Linked DNA regions of Lepisosteus oculatus. The protein of the gene in region 2 purifies or fractionates together with the protein of the main gene of each other region. This does not show direct contact. Links are inferred from orthologs where the notes say so. Each region holds a gene or a part of one and is shown on either strand. Other genes may lie near its edges.

The links. The genes of interacting proteins can lie anywhere in the genome.
Region 1: the proteins of cdc27 (region 2) and ttk purify together in Homo sapiens (affinity purification with western blotting; 3 studies listed by BioGRID). This does not show direct contact. The link is inferred for Lepisosteus oculatus from reciprocal best matches to the Homo sapiens genes CDC27 and TTK.
Region 3: the proteins of cdc27 (region 2) and anapc7 purify together in Homo sapiens (affinity purification with western blotting; 23 studies listed by BioGRID and IntAct, with this or other methods). This does not show direct contact. The link is inferred for Lepisosteus oculatus from reciprocal best matches to the Homo sapiens genes CDC27 and ANAPC7.

What each region holds. Positions count from the first base shown.
Region 1 is NC_090697.1:30,765,280-30,772,768, forward strand, and holds the start of ttk (dual specificity protein kinase Ttk), read left to right. Parts: upstream 1-4,485; 5' UTR 4,486-4,500; coding exon 4,501-4,621; intron 4,622-5,986; exon of another isoform or gene 5,987-6,029; intron 6,030-6,458; coding exon 6,459-6,545; intron 6,546-6,834; coding exon 6,835-7,057; intron 7,058-7,489.
Region 2 is NC_090723.1:7,973,246-7,981,076, forward strand, and holds the start of cdc27 (cell division cycle protein 27 homolog), read right to left. Parts: upstream 3,007-7,831; 5' UTR 2,848-3,006; coding exon 2,821-2,847; intron 614-2,820; coding exon 538-613; intron 29-537; coding exon 1-28. UniProt on the Homo sapiens protein: Component of the anaphase promoting complex/cyclosome (APC/C), a cell cycle-regulated E3 ubiquitin ligase that controls progression through mitosis and the G1 phase of the cell cycle.
Region 3 is NC_090717.1:10,172,333-10,179,223, forward strand, and holds the start of anapc7 (anaphase-promoting complex subunit 7), read right to left. Parts: upstream 3,005-6,891; 5' UTR 2,894-3,004; coding exon 2,793-2,893; intron 2,237-2,792; coding exon 2,050-2,236; intron 1,647-2,049; coding exon 1,527-1,646; intron 1,182-1,526; coding exon 1,070-1,181; intron 151-1,069; coding exon 1-150. Other genes in the region: ube2g1b (ubiquitin-conjugating enzyme E2G 1b), read left to right, coding at 3,584-3,626, 5,109-5,211, 6,453-6,550. UniProt on the Homo sapiens protein: Component of the anaphase promoting complex/cyclosome (APC/C), a cell cycle-regulated E3 ubiquitin ligase that controls progression through mitosis and the G1 phase of the cell cycle.

The DNA of each region.
Region 1 (7,489 bases), on a different chromosome or scaffold from region 2:
AATATATTATTTTATTTCCTTGTATATATAAGCCATGCGTTTGGCAAAAAAAAAAAGAAAAAAATCTATATTGAGATCCTACATGGAGGATTTGCAAATGCACTACAGCTGCTCCCGTGCCAAGCGCCTGGATACCGGAGCAGACGAGGAGCACTGCGCATGCGGGTAACAGTAGCTGACTCCGGAGACGGCTGCCGTGGTCCAAGGATCCACACCGATCGCTACACTCACACTCACACTTACACTGCTGTCCGTGGACACTGCAAGGGCTGTGTAGGTCCCTAGTGGCTGGTAGCTCATATTTTACGGACCTTGAAAAAGTGTCATATAGAAGGGAACGTATTGTGTCCAGATCAAAGTAAGAATAGAGCATCGAACCAGGGTCTGCAGCTAATATACTGGGAAAATGAAGCGATTCAAGTAGCCTTAAATCTCTGTCCCGAATGAGAAATATAATTATGCTCAAATATGTTAAAACAAAACTTAGTGCGGTTTGCCAACGCTCTAGGAAACTCACTTCTACACTACTCAAGATAATTTGTTTTCGCTTTTTAAAATTAAGGTGTCGTTTCTCATCTGTTTTCTTTAGATGTTATGGATTTAATTTCTAAAATTACAAATTTAAAAGTGACAGATTAGGTGACGAAACAGTGCACTGTTGATGATCGAGAAAGGCACAAGCTATTTTTATCCATCCATCCATCCATTTTCTAACTCCTTCATCCAATTCAGTGTCAGTGAGCTGGAGCCTGTCCTGGCAAGCACAGGGCGCAAGGCAGGGTACACCCTGGACAGGACGCCAGTCCATCACAGGGCTGACGGACACACATACACTCACACCATGACCAGTTTTCTATTTTCTAATACGCCAATTAACCTACCAGTATGTCTCTGTGGGGTGAAACCCACATGGAGACAGGGTGAACAGCAAGGCAGCAATTCTAATTAATCACTGCTCCACCCTGCCACACAAGCTGTCTTTAAAGATATAAACATTTCATCAGCAAGTGTGTGTTCAGAACAGGAATGAAACGACTGAAACATGAGAGCCTACAGATTTAAACGCAACGGAGATGTTAGTTGCGTGTCATTTAGAATGATCTTACATTACTCTGCTTCATTACTACATTACTCCGCTATTATTACCTTGCTGTTAATGATAATTCCTGCCAGCAAGAATTAACCTGTGAGCAAATTCATGTGACAATAGAGGTGGACCGAAGAGAACAAAATAAAGTGTCAGATTCGGATGCACACACAATGAATTGAAATGGTCGGCGTCATTTTTATTCATCATCTCTTTGTTGAGAGGACAAATAGCAAACAATGGTGTGAACACAAGGGATTAATTGCTGTGAACTGACAGAGGAACACCTTTGGGTTTTCCTGTTTACATTTCAGCTTTCTTTCCTAGCACAATGCTGTCTGCAGGTGGAGGATATCAAGGAGTAGGAGCGGCTTTCAGGAGCCGATGAGTTCAGGCATCCTCACATTCTGCGTCCAAAGGTCTCTAAGCCACAGCCTAGGTAGCAGAGCGCTCTACAAGCAGGAGTCGTGAAAGCAGAGGAGCAATAGCATTGACAGAGCAGAAGCGAAGAACTGCTGGAGAGAATTCATCGTATGGTGCTTGACCCAGGGAGCTGCAGAGAGCATGCTGGGAAGCAGCGGAACTCAGGAAGGGGCAACAAGGACACTTTCCGAGTGGTATCAGAAGATGTGTGAGTTGGCATCGTCAAAGTCTTTCCTGACCAGCAGTACTGAAGCTGTAAAACTGTTACTGAAAATGGATGGATTGACATACTGTAGACCAAAATATGTTGGTCTGATTTCATTCACACCTTATGTAAATAACTCACTTTGGCTTTAATCAGCAAAGGCATTTGCTTTGCCTGTACATAATGATCACTTAAACCATTGTTTATCCTGTAATGGTTTAATTTATTTTGACAAAGCTCTTATTTTTGCTGAGCACTGTTTAGCTGCAGACTACAGCAGATATAGTAGTTCAGAGCACCAGCTGATTTTGTCATCCTCACTGACTCGAATTAAAAATACCTGAGAAAGCCGATCTATTGCTAGAAACATTACATGCTCAAGATCTGCTCTCCTTACACTTAGTGCACCATAACCAAGCGGACGACACCGACCCTCAACAACCCCAAACGTTCCCTGACCCTTATGGCCAGCAATGACCTGCACACTCATCAGAGAGAGGCCAGGATCCCCTTCTGCACCCTGTTCCTGTCATACGACATAAGTCTTATCTATCCTGTCCTTATCTATCCTGTCAAACTATCTGACTGAAAATCTTCCAGGATGCCAATAGCAGGATCAGCCACAGCTGCGCTAGCCTCTACATTGTGCACTTGATGAGCCACTTGCAAAGACGGGCCACTAGTGTTACAATGTACATCTCAACAGGGAGGGAGTGCGCATTTTGGCCCGAAACATCAAATACACAGATGTGCATAGAGTCCAGCAAACGGAGAACTAGGGAACTGAGCAACAGTATGCCGGGGAACACAGGATATGAACCACCTGCCCCCCTGTCAGCACACACAGAGGACTGGTACACCCTACCGGCAGCCCACACAGCCCCAAAGAGCTGTGCAAATGTCATCTTGAAGAAGGAGAGGCTGGCTCTGAACTCAGCCACATCCAACACCTGATGATCAAGATCTACACCAGGCTGATGGTGTCATAGAAATCAAACATTAACAACCAGCCACTGTGAAGACACCAAGCACCCTTTAACAAAGTGATCGACTTGCAAGATTTCAGAAATGCAAAGTTTTATAATGTCTAGAAAGGTATTCCTAATGCACACAGAATGTTTCTTTCCACTTTTTCTATTTATGTTGTGAGTCTGATTTATTTTGCAAGTTCATCTCATCTTAGTTCAAAGTGTCACAGTTAGGGCCTCTGGGCATCATAAAAAACAGTTCCAAGAATCTCCAATATATCCTTCCATCCATTTCCTAGCTGCTTCTTCCAGTTCCGGGTCATAGTGGAGCTGGAGCCCATCCCGGCAAGCTTGAATGCAAAGGATCCAAAACCTCTTTGTATACCAGCCATTTACAGTGTATAAGTAATAGGTTTATTCCATGCTGAAAAAAAGAAGAAAGAGAACACAACGTTTCGGCCGTGGAGCCTTCTTCAGGTGTGAGAGAGACAGGGCAGTAGGCAAAGGTAAAGTAGCGGGAGAACAAAGGTTGAGAGGGAGGAGGAGTGAGAGGCGGGAGCAGGGGACAGAAAGAGAGGCCAATCAAGAGGTGTGAAGTCAGAATGGGTGCAGAGAGGTGTGAGTTAACAGTGTATGTCAATAACACAGCAAGTCACCAGAAAAACATGAAAAAGGAGTATGTTTTCATAGCGCTTTCTTTTCCACGAAAGCAAAAATAACTATCCCTGGTATTTCTGTACTGTCATATCTTTCATTTCTAAAGGATCACAATATTGACACGGTGGCGCAGTGGTTATTGCTGGGGTTCAGTTCTAGGCTTTTCGATTCCAGTTTGTACTGTATGTTCTCCCCATATTCAAGTGGGTTTCCTCCAGGTGCTCCGGTTTCCTCTCAAAGTCCAATGACATGCTGGTAGGTTAATTGGCTTCTGGAAAAACTGGCCCTGGTGTGAGTGTGAATGTAAATGTGTCTGTGTGTGCCCTGCAATGGATTAGCTTCCCATCTAGGGAGTGTCCTGGCTTGCACCTGTTGCTTGTCCCCGTGACCCTGTATTGGATAGAGCAGTTAGAAATGGATGGTTTATATATGGAAGGAACCTGACTTCATCCCTACACTGTAGTACAGTACAGTGCTTACCTACCTAGCAGCAACTCCACTATACAACACATCAATATTCTGGTACAAGAGTAATAGTGCCACCTGTGGTGCACTAACATTTGGTCTTATCTACATTCTGAGATAAGGCTATAAGGTTATTGGCTACTGTTAAACACCCCTGGGAGCTCAATGCCCTGGACAAAAAGTCACATCGATTTCGTATTTTTTATTTAACCTTTTATTTTTTATTGTAAGTTACAAATAGTTGCATAGTTACAGCATTTAAATATGTTTTGACGCCTGAAACAACAAGGCTTTTAAAACACATTTTGTAGCAATATACTTTACTTCTGGTCCATAAATCATCATTTGGCAGCTTTAACTGTTGTGACTAATATTATCTATTTTGTCTTTATCCTTAAAAGTTTTGTTCCATTATTAATTACAGCAATAGTGGAAATTCGTGCTTTGGAATTAGTAAAATCCGTACATTAGATTTAAGAGCTTTCAGTATTCGTATTTTGGGAATTTGTTCCATGTACGTAGGTAAGAGGGAGATTAAATCTCACAGAACAAAATTATGTAAACTGCAGGCGAAAGCTGCTTTTCTCAAAATAGGAGTTTCCGGCGGCGGCAGAGTAACAATAAATCCAAGACGGAAGCTGTAGGACAGCAACAGCGCAGCCTCTCTGTGATGACGCAGCGATACAAACTGACCAATGGGCGAGCGTGCTGAACGGAAATGGCGAAATTTGAATGTTCTGGAGAGGAAAACAGTGGCAATAAGGCTGTTTCAGCTTCATGTGGAGATAATCTTGCAGATATGTTCAAGAGCAGTAAGTATGTGTGAAATATACCATCAAATTTATATAATTTAATGTAGGAAGTCTGCCGATTGATCGCCTCAAGAGGTATTTCTGGAGCACAGTGTTTTGAGGAGGTTGCGGAGATGGAAATTGCAGACTTTTTGATTGCAGTTCTGTTTTTTTGAATGGCTGCATAAGGGTTGGGCAAAGTGCATTCACTTTGTGTTGCGTTTTGCCGTATTTTGTTGTTTATATTTATTTTTTTTCACCTCTTTAAGGTGAGGCGTGGGAATGTGTAGTTTATGAAATCCAATATTGATATGTTTCTTTGACGAGGACGTAAGCATTCCTAACGGCGAAATAAAACAATAACGGCAAACTCGGTTGAATGGTCGTGTAGACACGCCTTTTTCTATAAATAGCGATCATTTATATATGTCTAGGTTTTCTTGGAGATTTGAATCCCAGTAAGTGCACTTTTGTTTTTAAGTAAGACTTAACGCTCGATAGTGATTATAGTACACTAAAAAAACTGGATATATTATATGTTTTTATCATTCTGAAATTGTGTGACAGTATCACCACGTATCTGAGACGTTTATAAAAATGAAATTTTACGTAAATTATTAAAATAATTAAAATTGCGAAAGCGGTTTAATGAAAAAAATCTCCTGTTTTGGAGGTTGGTCACCCACACATTCCTGACATATGACTTGTTTATACAAGAGCTGGGTATCCCCCCCGGTCTGAAAACACTGCTTTCAAACGCTAAAACCTTTTTAATAAGCGTGATGCAGACGCTAAAATTCAGTGGTTTAATTATAGAAACAAAATTGACGGTTTATTTCACACATGCTTTCCGTGGTTAAACACACACTCGTATGGTTGTGAACGGGTGATCGGAGTCCAGTTTGAGCCTCATCATACATTCTTTGGGAAAAAAAATAAATTATTTGTCTATTTACAAAGATAGATTAAATTAAATGAGAGTTAAAAGATTTTGGATTTAAGTACAAAATTTGCAGTGAGAACGCAGGTTTCACGAAGAGAACTGTACTGCCTGTTATTAAATGTTTTGCAAGTAGAGTGAGTGGTTAAACGAGTTAGATCAAGTAGAAGGTGTTTACACACAATATGTACAGTTTAGCGCTCCTCGCTTGAGCTCAGCCAATAAGACCTATTTACACCTAAATCGGATTATATGTAGAGATAAATTCATTCTCTCATTTATATGTTACATGTTGGATTACAATGGGCGTGACTATTCTGTGGCAGACGGGAGACTATTCATGATAGGTGACCTATTAACCCGCTTGTGTTGTGACTTCTGTGAACTTGGGTGATATTTTGCACTGATACCATGGAGACTTTAGCTAGAAGTGGCCATTCTTTTGGAGGACCCCTACAGCTGTGTTGTCTTACAGTTCCTCACAGCATATACCGTACTGTGTCGTTTACAATTGTGGGGTAGTGAATACTCGGTGCTAGTGTATAAATACAAACAACTCCGCACGGATAATTTTAACAGTAACGTGGAGGTGTTTATTTTTTTTTAAGCTTCTCTGGAGTTTAACATTGCTCCAGTCCTCATCGCACTTAAGCGGCATAGACGACTGCCTTGATTTTCCAATGTTCTTTTGCTGCACTACTGTTGATCTATTTCGGACACCCTAACATCTGAATTTTATAAATATCTGCTCAGCATCTATTTCTACACCTGTACTGAAACAAGGTTTACAGTAAACGTAGATTGTAAATTATTTTGCATTTCTAAAGATGTGATAATACTAGCTATGCGCGATAAGTTTCTTTTGCTTTTGTTCGTTATTATTACAGTAACTAAGCATTCCAGATTTTATTTTTACTTACAGCCATGGATGATGAACAGCATACACAAAAGCAACTTGCTTTGCTTTCTGCAAGACTGAAGAATATTAAATCAAAGCTCTTTGATGAAGGTAATTACATTGTTGCACTATAGTATGTATTTGTTTAATATTTTGTGCATTTCCGTACAGATTATAAACATTTCTCAATGACTGCAAAAATGCTCAGTAATAGTCAAATTAAGCTTAAAAGCAAAGCAGATGCATGGTAGTTTATTATTATTGGAGTTACCCTCAGAGTTGTTAATAAAAAGTAAGCTGTTTTTTCTCAATCTGATTTTATAGAAGTGTTAATGAATTCATTTTTATTCTTTATTTTTCTTTGTCACTTAATACTTTTATCTTTTGTTTTCTTCCTTAGATGATACCGACAGCTTAAAACAGATTTTAAGTTCCAGCTCACCCGAATCATGCTTGGCCCATTTAAAAAACATAGAGAAGAGAGGCAACCCTCATACAGATCCATGTCTTCTAAAGAAGCTCGTTGACTGTTATGGTCATGTGTTTTCTTGTCTACCAGTAGAAAAGAACTGTCGCAATGAAAGCTATGCAATGATGCTGGTCAAGTTTGCAGAATTGAAAGCGTAAGTATATGGGTTCATATCACAGACTCGTGTGTGTGCTTTGCAGTGGTATCAGTGAAAAACATCCATTACTCCTTCATTGCTGCCTCTCCATATCTGCTGAGTAGTTCACCGTTTTTAAAGGCTAGATGAATGCTCAGTGCATTTTGGAGACACAAAGACAGGGAGAGAGAAGCTTGGGGTCAGAGCGCCGGGTCAGCCGTTTATACGGCACCCCTGGAGCAGTTGGGGGTTAAGGGCCTTGATCAGGGGCCCAACGGAGTAGGATTCCTCTGCCGGCCACGGGATACAAACCGGCAACCTTCCAGCCACAGGGGCAGATCCTTAGCCACAGAGCCACCTCACTGCGCCAGCCACCGAGGAATGTAGCAGAATGCTAGGCTCATTGGCAGTTAGTGGCTCCATCAGTGATAGATGAGATGCTTTTCCATC
Region 2 (7,831 bases):
AATAAGAAGAGAGCCTCTTCAGAATGCACTGTCCAAGCACATAAAAAAAACAAGCTTCAGCCCTAATGAAGAGCTTAGATTTCGAAAGCATAAAAACAAAACAAAACTGGCAACCAAACATTTCGTTATACTTTATCCCCCCCCGCAAACCACCCCAAATAGCTAAAAAAAGGATTCTTGTTAAAGACTATACATTTATACAGAAAAGAGTATTAAAATGTAAAACAGGATTTCAAGACCACAAAATGTCTAGGCGTAATTGTTAAAAACATAGAAGTCAGCAAAACAGATCAGCACAAAGAATTCTACTGTTATTTTATTTCTAAAAATCAGGCATCTTAAAATATAGCTCACTTCACAATAATTTGGGGGCCATGATTAAAGATGTACAACTACACCACCTTTATTCAGGATACATGAGTCCCTAATAATTTTATTTCCCAGTCTGACTCCATCACTTCTGAGACATTATTGATTTATTACAACCAAGAAAAAGTTCCGAACAGCTGGGTGATCTCCTCACATCTATTTCATTACCTTCAGCATAGAGTCTCTCTGCCAGAAAGACAGCATCTCGGTAGGCATACTGGTTTAGTGCATGCCAAACAGCTGCCTAGGAATGAAATGAAAAATTCAGTACCATCTTGGCAGCAGAGGTCCTTATCTGCAGCACAAATATCATCAAGATCTGAAACGTGTTTAGTTAATTTACACATTTTGAAACAGGGAAGATTTAGCAAACTAAAAATCTTTTTTGAATTGGGTAACAAGATCAAACTTTTAAAAACCCATTCACATATTGTTGTATCAGGAATACTACTAATAAGATTGCATATTAAGAAATATTTACAAAATGTTTCTCAATAAAACCAAAAGTCATAATTACTAACTGCTGCTCGTATATAACCAAGCGGACTAAACATAGGTTAAGTTCAGTAAATGGCCAAGAGATTAACTGGATACAACCCAAATGGCAGTGTAATTAAAGTAAGGCAGTTTAAAAAGAACGTTATTGTCCTGTTAGCGGCATTTTTTATCTCAAAGAAACTTGACACATTTTGTGAAAAAGAAAACATTACTTAGAATAATATAATGACCAGTGCATTTAAGATCAAAAGCAGCAATAACTTCTTTATGCAAAGGTTTGTGGGAGTCTGGAACTCAGATACAACAGCTGAAGCTGATACTCTTTACTTCCCTCAGGAAACAGAGTGGATAACACTCTCACATTAGTTCTCCATTATACGCCACACAAGATAGATTGGCCGTGTTATGTTTTAACAGCTGAAGTTCAAGTGTAACCCAAAAGTGCTATTCATGGGCATTATAGTCACAGAAATGACACTTCACGCAGTCCCCAATCATATTACTCCCTGCGTTATATATAGTACAAGCTATCATAACCACATTCTCTTTCAAATATAGGTGGCTATGTACTTGTGTCAGTGATCATACACCAGTCTAGTTATGTCCATTACTTTCCATGTCACCCAACAGTTACCTCAGTTCAGCAGGTAAAACACTTCTCCAAACACCTGTACATATTCTACAAGCACGAGCATTACTGGTGCTATTAAGAGAAAAAGAGCACAGTTATTCCCAGTTATAACCCCTAACCCCAACAGCCTCACTTACTACGAAGGGGCGGGATTGGGGCATATCTTCAGATGAAAAACAATACCTGGATAGGCAGAAAGTCCCTTTGATATACTAAACCCACAGTTCTGCGACATTAGACCACAAAGCAATAAACCGAATTTGATTATAAACGACTGTTCATGAAGACGTTTGCACTGCAGACACGTTCAACGTATTGCTCTTCACATGCAACATTTCACCTTACAGGATCACCGCGCATCACCCTTCAGGTGTTTATTAAATGCGAAAAAATACCTTTTCAGGAGCAAAAAATTGTTAAAAAACAGCAGTCAAAAACTTCGAAAGCTGTTGTGTCATTTTATGTACCTAGGTTTATTTGTCCACACACTCCGAGATAAACAGCATTCGCTAACACCAAGTAACAATTTTCCGGTTTTATTTTTATTTAAAAAGACCTAAAAAAAGCCTACCGATCAATATTCACTCAAATTCTACAATCAGTCGCTAAAGCAATGCACTGAAGCCAGAGGAAACAAAGATGCAGGTGTTCGACTTCAAAGGCATCTACGTTACAATGTTCCACATCTCACAATCGCAAACTTCAGTAGTTGAACCAAAGTCTTTCCAAAGCAGAACAAAACCTCAAAAACGACCCTCACAATGTCTGGTTACTCCACAGTGCCCCAATTTGAATGAATTCGCCATCTGATCAAACTGTTAATGACCCATCACAATTTATTAACCACTAGCACATCAGCCAAGTTACCTGTGTAAGGTCGCAAAATGCTACAGAACTACCTGCCGTATTTTAGAAAACAAAATACTACAGTAAACACCTCTTTCCCCCATAGGGCAAGATGCCACACCGGCGAATAATTAGGACTTTAAGACTAATACAATTTCAAGAGCAATAAACTGCAACAAAGCGTTTATAAAAGAATCGCACATCACCCGAAAATCTTGTTATAATTCTGATAAACCGGAATTCTGAATCAAACAAACGCATCGTTTTTGGCTTTGTAAAGCTTTTCAATCGCGTCTTTTTTAGCTTCCCAAAAGGAGAGTACGCGAGGCCTCCACTATTTGTTTTCAGGCCTCGGGCTCGGAGTAGAGCTCCCTACCGGCTGGCGAGAGCCGGACTCGGGTGGGCGCGTTCCCACCACAGGCCGCTCTCATTTTAACCAAGTAGCTGCGCCGCGTTTCTTTATTTTCCTCCGTTACCTGCACAGGTTCTTGTAGCACCGTCATTACGCGATCAAGCTCCTTCTCTCTGCCTTTAACTCGCTTCCCCCGTTCCGCAACCCCTCTTTCGCCTTTTGCTCAGTTTCAGGGCCCGAAGGAGCTCCGAGGATTTAAACACATCGACCGTTAGCGACCAAACCGAGACCCGCCGGAGATTGCCGATTAATGCGGAACAGGCACGAACAACGACGGACTGTGACGGAAATTGCCGATAGCTTCGCCAACAACCCGAAACGCAAGCGCAAGCTAGGAGTGTGAAATAACACTTCCATTCACAATTAATTACAGCGCGCAGTGATAATGGCTGGCTGCTTTCGTTCTCAATTACTTTCTCTCTCTTCCTGTCTTCATTATGAAAAATTAGGGTTTGGGACCTTCTGTATGGACTTCTCTCCAATACATGCCTCTTTCAAAGTAAAACTGCCCTATACTCTGTCCAGTTTAATCAACATGTTTTTAAAGCACATTTTAATGAGCCCCAGTGGCCTAATGGATAAGCTACTGTCCCGCCCTAACCCAGGGATTGTGGGTTTGAGTCCCATCTGGGATCGACTGGATGAAGCCACAGCGTGCAGAATAAACTTTTTAGCTTTCTGGATCTCTAAAAACCTTTTCCACATCAAAGGCCACCAGTTGAGACACGACAGATTGCATCTGAGTGGGATAGATGGTGGTCGTCTTGGCTCAATAACCCACTAAAAGCCCGACACTTAAACTTTACATGGGGAACAAAGACCAAAGGAAAAAAAACAAACGATTCTGTAATTAGGCTCTTATACCTAAAAGCTGGGAAACAAATGAAATAGGATGGAAGCTGGCACATTAGCAGGGAGTTATGATGTTACTGAAACTGATGGAGAGGAATGGGGCATAAGCGGATTCTCTTCTGGGAAGATCGGAAAGAAAAAAGGTACTCGTCAAAACGCTGAGGCTCTGCTTAAAACTTGGCAGGAACAAAACAAAAGCAATGCAAGTCGAGACACAGAAATGAGGTCAAAGAACCAGAAAGGGACTACAGCGTATCAAAAAGAATATTCAGGTTGGGGAATTAAGGGTAGAGGAATTACTTCTTTGAATCTATAGGTGTGGTGTTAGCAGTGTGTTAGACACCACCACCAATTGCAGATGTAGATTTTTACTCAACACCGTATAATGAAATTAAAAATGTATATGCCACATAAGAAATTATTTTTATTGGTAACTGTAGGTCACAATGGGAACAAAGGGCGGTTAGGTATGTCAGGAACAGGCTGAAATGGAAGACAAACAGTAGTTCATCACTGATGGCAAGACAGGTTATCAGAGTGCTTATAGGTGGAACTGCTTGAGCAGATCTTGTCTTTTCAAGTAGTCAGGAGAATGAGGACAACAAAGATGGGAGAACCTTTATGAGCTTTTGGCCATAATATGGTGCTGATGGATATTTTGAATCTGTACAGGTTGAGTATGGAGCAAAAGTGTCCAATTTCTGGACAGCAGGCTTTTGAAGGAATGAGATGCAGGGGAAGAGAAATAAAATAGGACAGGATAGGTATGAGGTCATTTGAAAAGGGATGGTTAGAGTTTAAACAGTCTGAAGCAAAGAACAAATTTATCACAAGAGTGACTCAAACAAAAACTAAAAAAACAGCATCCGGAAGGGTTCAGAAAACAGTTAAGAAATAGCTATTTTTATTTTGGGGGGAAAAATAAAGCATATTACAACACATTTAAAACAACAGAAACAAAGACAATTGGTTTACATGCACAGGTGATAAAGTTATTAAAAAATGAAAATTTAAAACATATTACAATGGAGGCTAAAAGAAATAAAAAAAAGGGTTCTTGTCATTCTACAACAGCAGAAGTACCATTAGGAATAAAGTAAAGCACATCTGGAATAAAAATGGGACACACTGAGCTAGAAGAAGCTACTTATGAGAAAAAGACCTACGTGATTATGTTGACATACTGTAAGTGGAATTCAAATGAGTGGAAGTTATGTTCAAAATGTTTACTGTACTACTAAGGTCTCTTACTAGAATATAGTGCACAATTGTGGTCACCACATTATAGAAAAGATACTGCTGCTCTAACGTCAGTCCAGAAAAAAGCAACTACTGTAGGTACCGGAGCAGAGGGGTTTATGTCAGAATAAAGGGCACTTCAGATCTAATGTATGTATTAATATTAGTGCTTAGTTTAACTATTCAGAATCCTTAATGGTATTGCCACTGTCAACTCAGTGAATGTCTTCCACATGAACAGTGAAACATGAACCAGAGAGAGCAAGTGGAAGAGCGTTTAAATCCAAGAACAGGAGGTACCTCTTTACCCAAAGGGTGGTGGGAGTATGGACAAAGCTACCCAGCCAGGATGTTGAAGCCAATACCCTGGATTCTTTCAAGAAAAGACTGCACAAGTTTGTAACCTTTCTTATGCAGAAGCATGGAACCTGGATCCCAGCCTCGATCAAATTCTAGTGCTCACCTCTGATTTAACTGTATCACTTTCCAGCCACACTCCTCTCAAATCCAAAGTTTAGATCACTGCGGACAATGCTCATGAACAATAGGATTTCTGTGACAAATGCCACCGGGTTTGTTCCGGGCGACACGATGGCACAGCAGTTAACATGGTAACCTCACAGCACTGAGGCCCTGGGCCAATCCATCTGTGTGGAGTTTGTATGTTCTCCTTGTGTTTCTAAGGACATTACCTGTTGTCGTTTTGCACATTGCCTGTTGTCTCTGTTTTTCTTTTCTTATACAATTGTATTGTTGTTTTTTTTGTACTGCTTACCATCTGAGAGCTAGCTAAATAGCATTTCATTATACCATATACCTGTATATGAGTATAATGACAATAAACTTGGATCCAAGAGGGACATCGTAGATATAGCTAAAGTTTAGAAGGAATTTACTGGTCTACAGAGATCTGCATGGAGTACTAACACACAGAAGACATGATGGATGGATAGATTAATACCCTCATAATTTCCTTTTTTTAATTGTATGATGTTAGCATGCCCAAAAAGGTTGGGCAACCAGTTGACCTTGGACCCCTAGAGGTATTTTTTCTCCTTAATAAGGAGTTTTTGGTTCCTCTCCTCCATTGTCTTCTGGTCTTCTGTTCTGTATTGACAAAATGTATTGTCAATTGCATTGTTAAGTGCCTTAGGGCAACCTTGTCATGAAAGGCGCTATCTAAAAATAAATTGAATTGAATAAACATGAACTTGAACTTGAACTTGGACTCGCTGGTAGATAATTTTGCCCTGGTGTGGCTGTGTATTTATGCCTGTGTGTACCCTCTGATGGGATGGGGTCCTGTTGGGTGTTTGTGCCTGTTGTTTGCTGGGCTAGGCTTTGACATCCCCTGTGACCTTGTAATGGATAAAACAGAAATCGGATGGCTAAGATGTTGTCAAAAGCTTCAATAGAGCCTGAAGTTTTAAGTGTATAAAGCCACCAGGTGGAGCCACAACACCACTAATACAATATGTTACCCTTCTAGTTTTCCTGACTCTGTCCAAAACTCTCCTAAAGGAAAATTAAGTACCTAGATTTACACAGTCACACAACTAGTATGCTACAGCATGTTCAAACCAGCTGCTTGTAACTCAGTTTAAATTCATGGATCTCCCCTGTTGTAGTTTTCTTGCACTGCCATCCTGTGAACTTTACGATAAACTTCAAAATCTTGCTGTCTTTAAGGGCTTGAGCGGTTTGTCTCCTAAGTAAATCAGTGAACCGTTAGCCCCCTACACAACGTCACTTTTCTTTGCTCTTTGGTTTTACTTTTAGTTCCCCAAAACTGGATCCTAACCCTGGGTGACCCTGAGATAATGGGGAGATCATGTTTCCTGTACTGTTTTTCTCCAAGGCTGTGGGAATGATCCCTAAGCCCATGACTTAAAATTTACTTTCATACATCAGCTTTTGATTCCCTTAAATTTACTGTAGTCATTTGTGTTTAGTCGTTTCTAAGGTTTCTCCCTTCACCTTGATTGTTGTAAAGCATGAATCAGCATGAAGCATGAAGCATGATTCAGAACGTGAGTGGGGGTGCAATTAATAATTTTAAAAACACAAATAGTTTTTGTAAGAAAAGCACATTTCCTGGGTATTTTGTTAGAGACCCCAATGGCACTGTTTGCCCTAGACGCACCCAGTCTGAATTTCTACCCTCCATTTCTTCCATTCACATTCGAGACAGAGGTCATACTTAGTCTGACTTCATCGCGCCAGGGCGGATTCGGAAAAAGCTTGGATCTAATCCCTGTGCGGACTCGGATCCTCAAGGCAAAAGAAAAAAAAAAGGAGTTCTAAAAAATAAATCAGGGATAAGAGATTAGTGGATTGCTGAAGTGTAGTTAATTTGTTGCAGAGGGTGTTGCTGTACTCCAGAGCTTCCTCTGCACTGACAGGTATTAATGCAGGTGGATTATCTATCTTCTGCTGTTCCAAAGTGTCCTCATGGTACCCAGAACCTTACAGCAGGTGCTGTAGCTATTCCAAGGGAACAGGTACAAGGGATTGATTCTTTATTACAGGAATCAATATTATTATCTTTTATACTGAATGCTTTTGCTTTCTCCTAGGTATCGGGAGGTCATTAAAAAATCACATTTTCTTTCCTCTGATTGTGGATTGATCTGAGCAAGAGATGGATTCAGAGACATTGGGTCTCGACCTTCGATAGTCATTTTAAGAATAAACAAATACATTTAGTAGATTGACAGAATCAGTGCAGCCCTATTGAGAAAACAGTTTTAATTGCAGTTTTGATTTGTTCACCCTAGTTGAAATATATAGGTGTAGGTAGGTAGGTGTAGTTGGTGGATTTATTCATGACTCATTTCTGTGATCTCAATAGGCTGTAATTTGTAGATGTCTAAGCAATTGTAAAAAGAAAAAAAAAGTATGGGAAATTAAGACAAGAGCTGGATGTGAGTTTCCAGATCTACCCACTTCAGTGTTGTGGTTTAGCATGTGCTTGGGAATGTGGA
Region 3 (6,891 bases), on a different chromosome or scaffold from region 2:
TAGTATTGATGGCTCTCAGGTTGTCCCCAGCATGTGAAAAAGCATAGGCCTTTATCCACACGGAAAGCCAGTCCAGGCTGGGGATGCTCTGAATCACGTCCATGGTCATTGATGCGACTTCTGCTCCTTTGACAGACAGGGACAGCAGACCTGCAAAACACACCGACCTTTAATCCAGGAAACAACATGAAGCAGGACCACGTACGCCGCTGACTCTAGTTATAACCTGGCATTACCCGATGTTTTAAAAAATAAAAAAGATGATGGATTTCCTCGAGCTGGAGACGTGCAAGTGTCAACTATAATATCTAAGGAGAGTTCCAGTATTCCACTAAAGCAAAACACTAATGGCATCTTGTAAGATATTTTGCAGGATTCATTTGACCATCTTCATATAAAAACTCCATAAATGATTAACATTTTGGTCTAGTTTACCTTTTTGTAAAAAAATGATGTCCTATATTTCCTTGCATTAGGTTTTCTTTGCTCTGGAATTTGGCAAGTGGTGGACTGCAATGTGGCAGTATACCTAAGCACCCTTTATCGGTAATAATTCATTTAGAAGGAATAAATGGTAGCATGCTAGGGTAGCATTACAGTTGGGAGTTATATACTTTTCATACAGAAAAACAATGCACTACATCAATATTCTGACTTTAAGGGTGCACTGAAAATATTACTGGCACATTTTCTTTACATGGCTGAAAATGTAAACTACTCCAATTTTTACATAGTTTTAATTAAAAAGGGTACTATGTTTCAAACCAAAGAAAAGCAATACAACCTAGAGTTGAAATCTTAAATTCTATTTAGGTCAATTTCAGCCTTAAAAGCTAAGGGAAAATGTGCATTAGGTATAACAAAAGTATACAGTCAAAGCAGAGAGCATACACACACACACTCCAGAATTCTTACTAGTGCAAAAGCTTGCAAAACTAACTTCCCTCTCAAAAACGGGCCATTTCTAACTTGCAAAAACAGACATTTTGCAAGCTAAATATCTTTAAGCATCTAGGGGAGATGGAATGGGATACCATGTGAAAACAAACTACATATTAAAAGTATGTACCGATAATAGCATCAAGAGCAAGAGGACACTGTCTCAGAACTTCTTTATAGCTGGTTACTGCTGAGCGCTCTTGCCCAGCTTTCCTGTACAAGTTAGCCAGCATCATGTTGATCTGAAAATAAAAAATACACACTGCTGAGTGATTTCAACATCTGAGCTTAGCTATCCAACATATCAAACACCAATTCTAATGAGTATTTTAAATAGCATGTTTAGTGTAGGTAATTTGCACTCTTTTATGAAAACAGAACATTCCTAAATAATAGGTGAAGGAAACAATCAATGCACTGATTTGCATGCAGACGTTTTTATGGCTCTAGAAATAAACACTACTATACTACACTACTAACAGAAATACAAATAACCATTTGCTAAGATTAAAGAGTTTACAAAACTTAGAATACATAAATACATACAGTATATACTGACATTTATTGAGCACAACACTACAGCTAACCTTGGGCGTTCTCTGCCTTGATGGAATCCCATCCAGAACTGCAATGGCATCTTTATCCAGCTTGAGAATGGTGTAGCACTCTGCAATTTTATACTTCACCTCAATCTCAGACGGAAGGCTCTAAAAACAAGATATGTGGACTCTTTATCACTCTCAATTTAACCTGGAGGCTAAAAATTCTAGATTTTATTTTTATTGCCTTTTGGCATTTGTCATATTGAAGTCAATTCACCTTTTATACTACGTTAATTTGAAATGACTATTTTAGAAGCAAATAATTTCAGCTTGTCACACTAAATACTTGAACAAGACCTCTGTGTTCCTCATGCACAATTTAGATTTGCATCAGTATATATATGACCCATCTTTCACTATAATACAAACTTAAAAATCCAGTTGATTTTAAAGCATTCATGTGATTACCGGGACCAAATGGATCACCCTGCCTGGGTAGGTTTTTTTTTATCTCTGAGTGACCAGTTAAATGGTACCTAAAACTCTTAGTCAAGTAAACAGTATGTACCTGTCCTTGCAAAGAGGATGCATTGCTCCCAGCAGAGGTCCTTACTTTAGAGGTCTTGCTCAACACTTTCTTCTGCTGCAAAGCCATGCTGTACTTGCAAGCTGCATTCCGGTACTCCTTATCATGGAACAGGGCATCCGCGTGGTACACCAGCAGCTGGTATTTCTGCGATGGGGAAAACAGCTCCCTGGAAAAAAAACATTTGCATGCACATAAAACAATTCATGGATTTAACAAAATCTAAAATGCAGCTGCAGGAAATAGCTCATCAATATAGGTAATGCATACTATAGACACTTCTGCAAAAGAGCTCAACACAAGCAGTGAAAAGAGTATGGTCTACTCTGGTGCTGTACTCTATGTTGAGTAAATCCCAACATTTACATTATTTTTTTTCTGCTCTCTCCGGAGATTTTGCAAATAGTTTGCATAAATTATTTACAACTATAAAATGATTTGCTTGTGAATGGATGTACTCATTCCCTTGTCTACGTCCGACCTATATTCTATTATCGTTTTTGCATGAGTGCACTAGTGCATACGGCGTACCACTTCATCACTTGTTTTGAGCACTTCCGTTACACTATAATAGTGAGGTATCATATTTAATGGAGCTCACACATCTTCGTTAAGGGTTTAAAACACGTTTTCAAAAAACTGTATTGATAAAAGCTCCACATATACTACATATTATATGCAGAGGAGTTGGTCCAGAACCTGTCAACGAAACGAAAGGTACATACGGGTTGTTGTTACTCATTGTAAGTAACAAACTGCTCAATATCCTGACATTGGAGTGGAGTCCGGCGGCTGCCATCTCTCGAACGTGATCTATAACATTCATTTTTTTAGCAATTGTGGTTTCCAAAGACAAAACAATGGACAAAAATAATCAAAACAGCTTTCGTTAAACCCTCCTGAAAAACTTCTCCCTTATTGCATCAAATATGGCGCCTCTGAGGTCTTAAATAGGGGGGTCCTTTCAAACGCTGCCTTCAACTGGCCTCTTTAAAATTGTATTTGTTTTCCTCGCCACAAGAAGATAACACTGAAAACCTTTCAATCAATTTTGGTAGTGTCAAGGTGGTCGCCTATTAATTCTGGAAGCGTGCCTCTTCATTTGATGCCCTGGGTCTCCGCAAAAACACGACCTCAAACAGCACTGAAGGAACACACACACATAACTAAAATGAGAGTCTGTGTTTTATACGATTTTGTTTCCACGCTTATTTGTTTTTTTTGTTTGTTGTTGGGTTAGTTTTAAAGGAATTACAAATGAAAGAAGGATATGGGATATTTTTAAGCAGGAGATAGCTTGGACGACCCCAATTCTCCCGAGTCAGCGCGCATGCGGTGTGAGCAGCTTAAATCACTCCGGGAGCCCTAAATGTGTCAGACAGGCAGCCAGAGACTCGGCAGGAAGGAATTGGCGGATTTCATAGCATTTTTTATTTATTTGTCGATATTCTCTTACAGATAACCACGTCTCTATCTATCTATATATATATTTTATCTAAAACAAGCCCCACATACCATGACTGAACAATCAGCGCTGCTTCTTCGAAAACAGCTGGCAGGTTAGTGAGAGCGACTCGGTCTGGAGACGAGATCGAGGTTTTAGCAGGATGTGTTGTTTACAAGAAGCAGTTATTCTTGAACTTCAGCTTTTTCCTTCGTGTGAGGGATGAGTTTTATTTTTTAAGCTTTCTTTGCTAGTGCCAAAGTGTTTGTGTAACGCGGTAGCGGGTGATAACGACCTAATTCGGTTGTTGGTTTTTTTTTTCCTTTTAAAAAAATGTGGCTGGTTGGCGTATCTTATACAGTAGTGAGATTTAGCTCCTCTCTTTAGCAGGCTGCACGTTGGTCGTGGTTTAGGACGGATTAATCTTATTGGGTTGTTTAAGAGTTCCAATTTGTTTTTTTTCCCCCAACAAAATTGGTTCTTTAAAAACGAAGCTGGAATCGTCGTGCCATTGAAATGTAGAAGCGGTTCAGATGCAAGGAAGTAATTGGCAACTAGCTAAACTTTGGGGGTTTTTTTTGGTCGATACAACCGCATCATCTGCTCGGCTGGACTCCCTTTTAACGTGCTTAAACGTTTATAAATTACCTGTTACAGCTACAATCTACAACGGGGCCGAGTTGTGTCACTTTCACCGTATCCGTACATAGTTTTAAAATACTAATGTGTCTCTTAAAAAAAAATAAATATCGCGTAATCCGAGTCAACCAGAACTCTCCCCCACACAGGTAAAAGCCACACAGCCCTTGTGTATTGCGGTTGCTCATTTTTTTTTTAATTCTAATGTGATTAAGCTGTTTTATTTTTATTTATTTTGTGTCAAGACCTGTGTTTCGAAAGCTGATCTTTTGGCTTTTGCGCAATTTACGCCGTTCCCAGAATTCCGAGTGTGTTTTTTTGCGGGTGGAAAACTGAGACCCTGAGTCTTCGGCTTGTAGCTCTTTCCCCCTCCAGGTCTGCTCCTCTTTGGTTTTGTGATTCTGACGTTAGGATTAACTTTTAAAATGACTAATACAGAGTACCGCCCCCACCTGGGAGCAAGTGTGGCACAATAATTAGCCTTCTCCTGCATTTCTTGAATACAGCCGAGCAAAAACTCGTTTTGCGCACCTTTTCCTCCTTTTGAAGGGCTTTGACTCAGCATTTTTGTTTTATTGAGAGATGCGATGTTGCAGAGATGAACTGCAATGAGAGAGAATTCGACTTAGGATAGAGGATCCTGAGATCTTGCCTGTATGCAGTATGCCGATATTCAGTTTAAACCTTGAATGTGATCTCTCTGAGAAATAATAAGAGCATATTATTCGTACTGTTTCCTTTGGCTCCTGGTTGTCCAGGGTGCCCTTATCTTATGCTCCTGGGTAGTATATGCCCCAGTACAGTTTCCACAGCGATCTAACGTGTATCAGGTTGCTTGACTCATTTACTCTGCATATGTATCCTGTTGACTGTCTGGTAAGTTTATCCTGTTTGCACTGTGTAACCAGCTGTTCCATCCTACTGGAGGGAAGTGTTTAAAATTGTGTTTGAATTTCAGAGCTCAACAAGAACCCTGTGGAAGGCTTCTCGGCAGGGCTCATCGATGATGATGACATCTACAAATGGGAGGTGGTCATAATTGGGCCACAGGACACGCTGTTGTAAGTGTGGATTTTAAGTGGCTGTCCTGGTGCTGTGAGGGCGGTAGAAACCTGGTCAGATGTCAGACTTTTCCTTCTTTATCCGTTTGCTCTAATGGGAGAAGATCCTAAAAATCCAGGAAGAACAGTAGCTGAGAGTGCATGCAGTTAGAAATGTCCTAGTCATAGAATAAGAACAGGATAGCTTTGAAATCATATGCACATCCAAAAGATTATAACCGTGTCTTTTACTGTATTTAAAAGCCCATGGGAAAAGTGGTCAATAGAACCTGTTTGATCGTTGTTTGGATGAAACAGGGAATTAGAAGAGCCTTTACTCAACTGCTTCTGTTCTTTATCCCTCTGCTCCTACTGTATTCAGTACCTCCATTTACTGTGTATTCTCATTGTGAATATCTTGTGTATTTGTTATTGTTGTTGTCATTCTGTAAAGGGCTTTGAGAAGGCACCTTTAAAGGTGCTCTTTAAAATAGTTTATTATAATAAGAAGAAAAATGAGGTGGTTCGTGTTGGAGTTGACGGCTTTCTTACACTCTTTGTCAGAAAAACTGATTTACTAGAGGGCATGTATGTATTGGTTTAATATAGCTGTGATTATAATAAGGAAACTCTATTTTCCTTTGAAACTGTAAAGATAGAGTTCAACTCGGAGGCTTCCAATTTTGGGGACACAGACCGGAAGAATGTGACCAATCTTCCAATAAAAAAATTGATGGAACAACTTAAAGATGTTCTGCTTCTAGCTTCTTCTAAATTGGTCAGGGAAGTGGTGGCACAAATAGTTTAATTAAAAAATCTTAATGATTTAACTTTTTAAAGCAGTAAAAAAAAAAAAAACTAGATCCAGTTAAAAGATGTAAAATGCAATATTTCACTCGTGCTTATCTGGGAACGATCAGACAATGTGCATCAGGCTGAAGATAGACTAAAGTCCTATATTAAATACTGAGATAGACCTGCAGGACCTGATGATATTCTACCAAGTCTGTTCAAGGAAATGAGATGTTATTAATAGTCCATGAGCAAATCTCTTCCATCAGTCTCTCGAGACAGGTGTTGTAGTTGCTGACTGGAAAATTGCTACCGTAGCACCCATCCATGAAAAGAGTGGTGCAACCACACACAGTTATATCTTCGTTTGTAACTTCATGTTGTTGGCCACATGACAAGATGAGCTGAATTGCATCAGTAGTGATTGCCTACAGATGGCCAACACCATCTTTATCTTTCTTTTAATGCAGTGAAGGAGGGTTTTTCAAGGCTTATCTGACGTTTCCTTATGACTATCCCTTGCGGCCTCCAAAGATGAAGTTCATTACTGAAATCTGGCATCCTAACGGTAAGGTTACTAGTTATCTATCGATTGTGTGTGGAAGTGCTGTGTGCATTGGTTTATGGACATGTTCTTTTTCATTTACCTTACTACCTGTCCAAGAGACTTGCACATTTCTTGTAAAGAAAGAACATACTGTAAAATATTAATAGTACCACATCCTGTTTTTGTTAAGTGCAACTATCAGGCAGGAGTGATTGAACGGTACAATTGAAAGCACCCTCAGATACAGAGGTGGATAGTAACAACTTACTGTCCAGCTTACAGGTTCAATTTATAACACTCATTAGCACAGACTAATTGAAATGTCTTTTACCAACACTGGTAGTGTTACTCTGGGAAGGTTC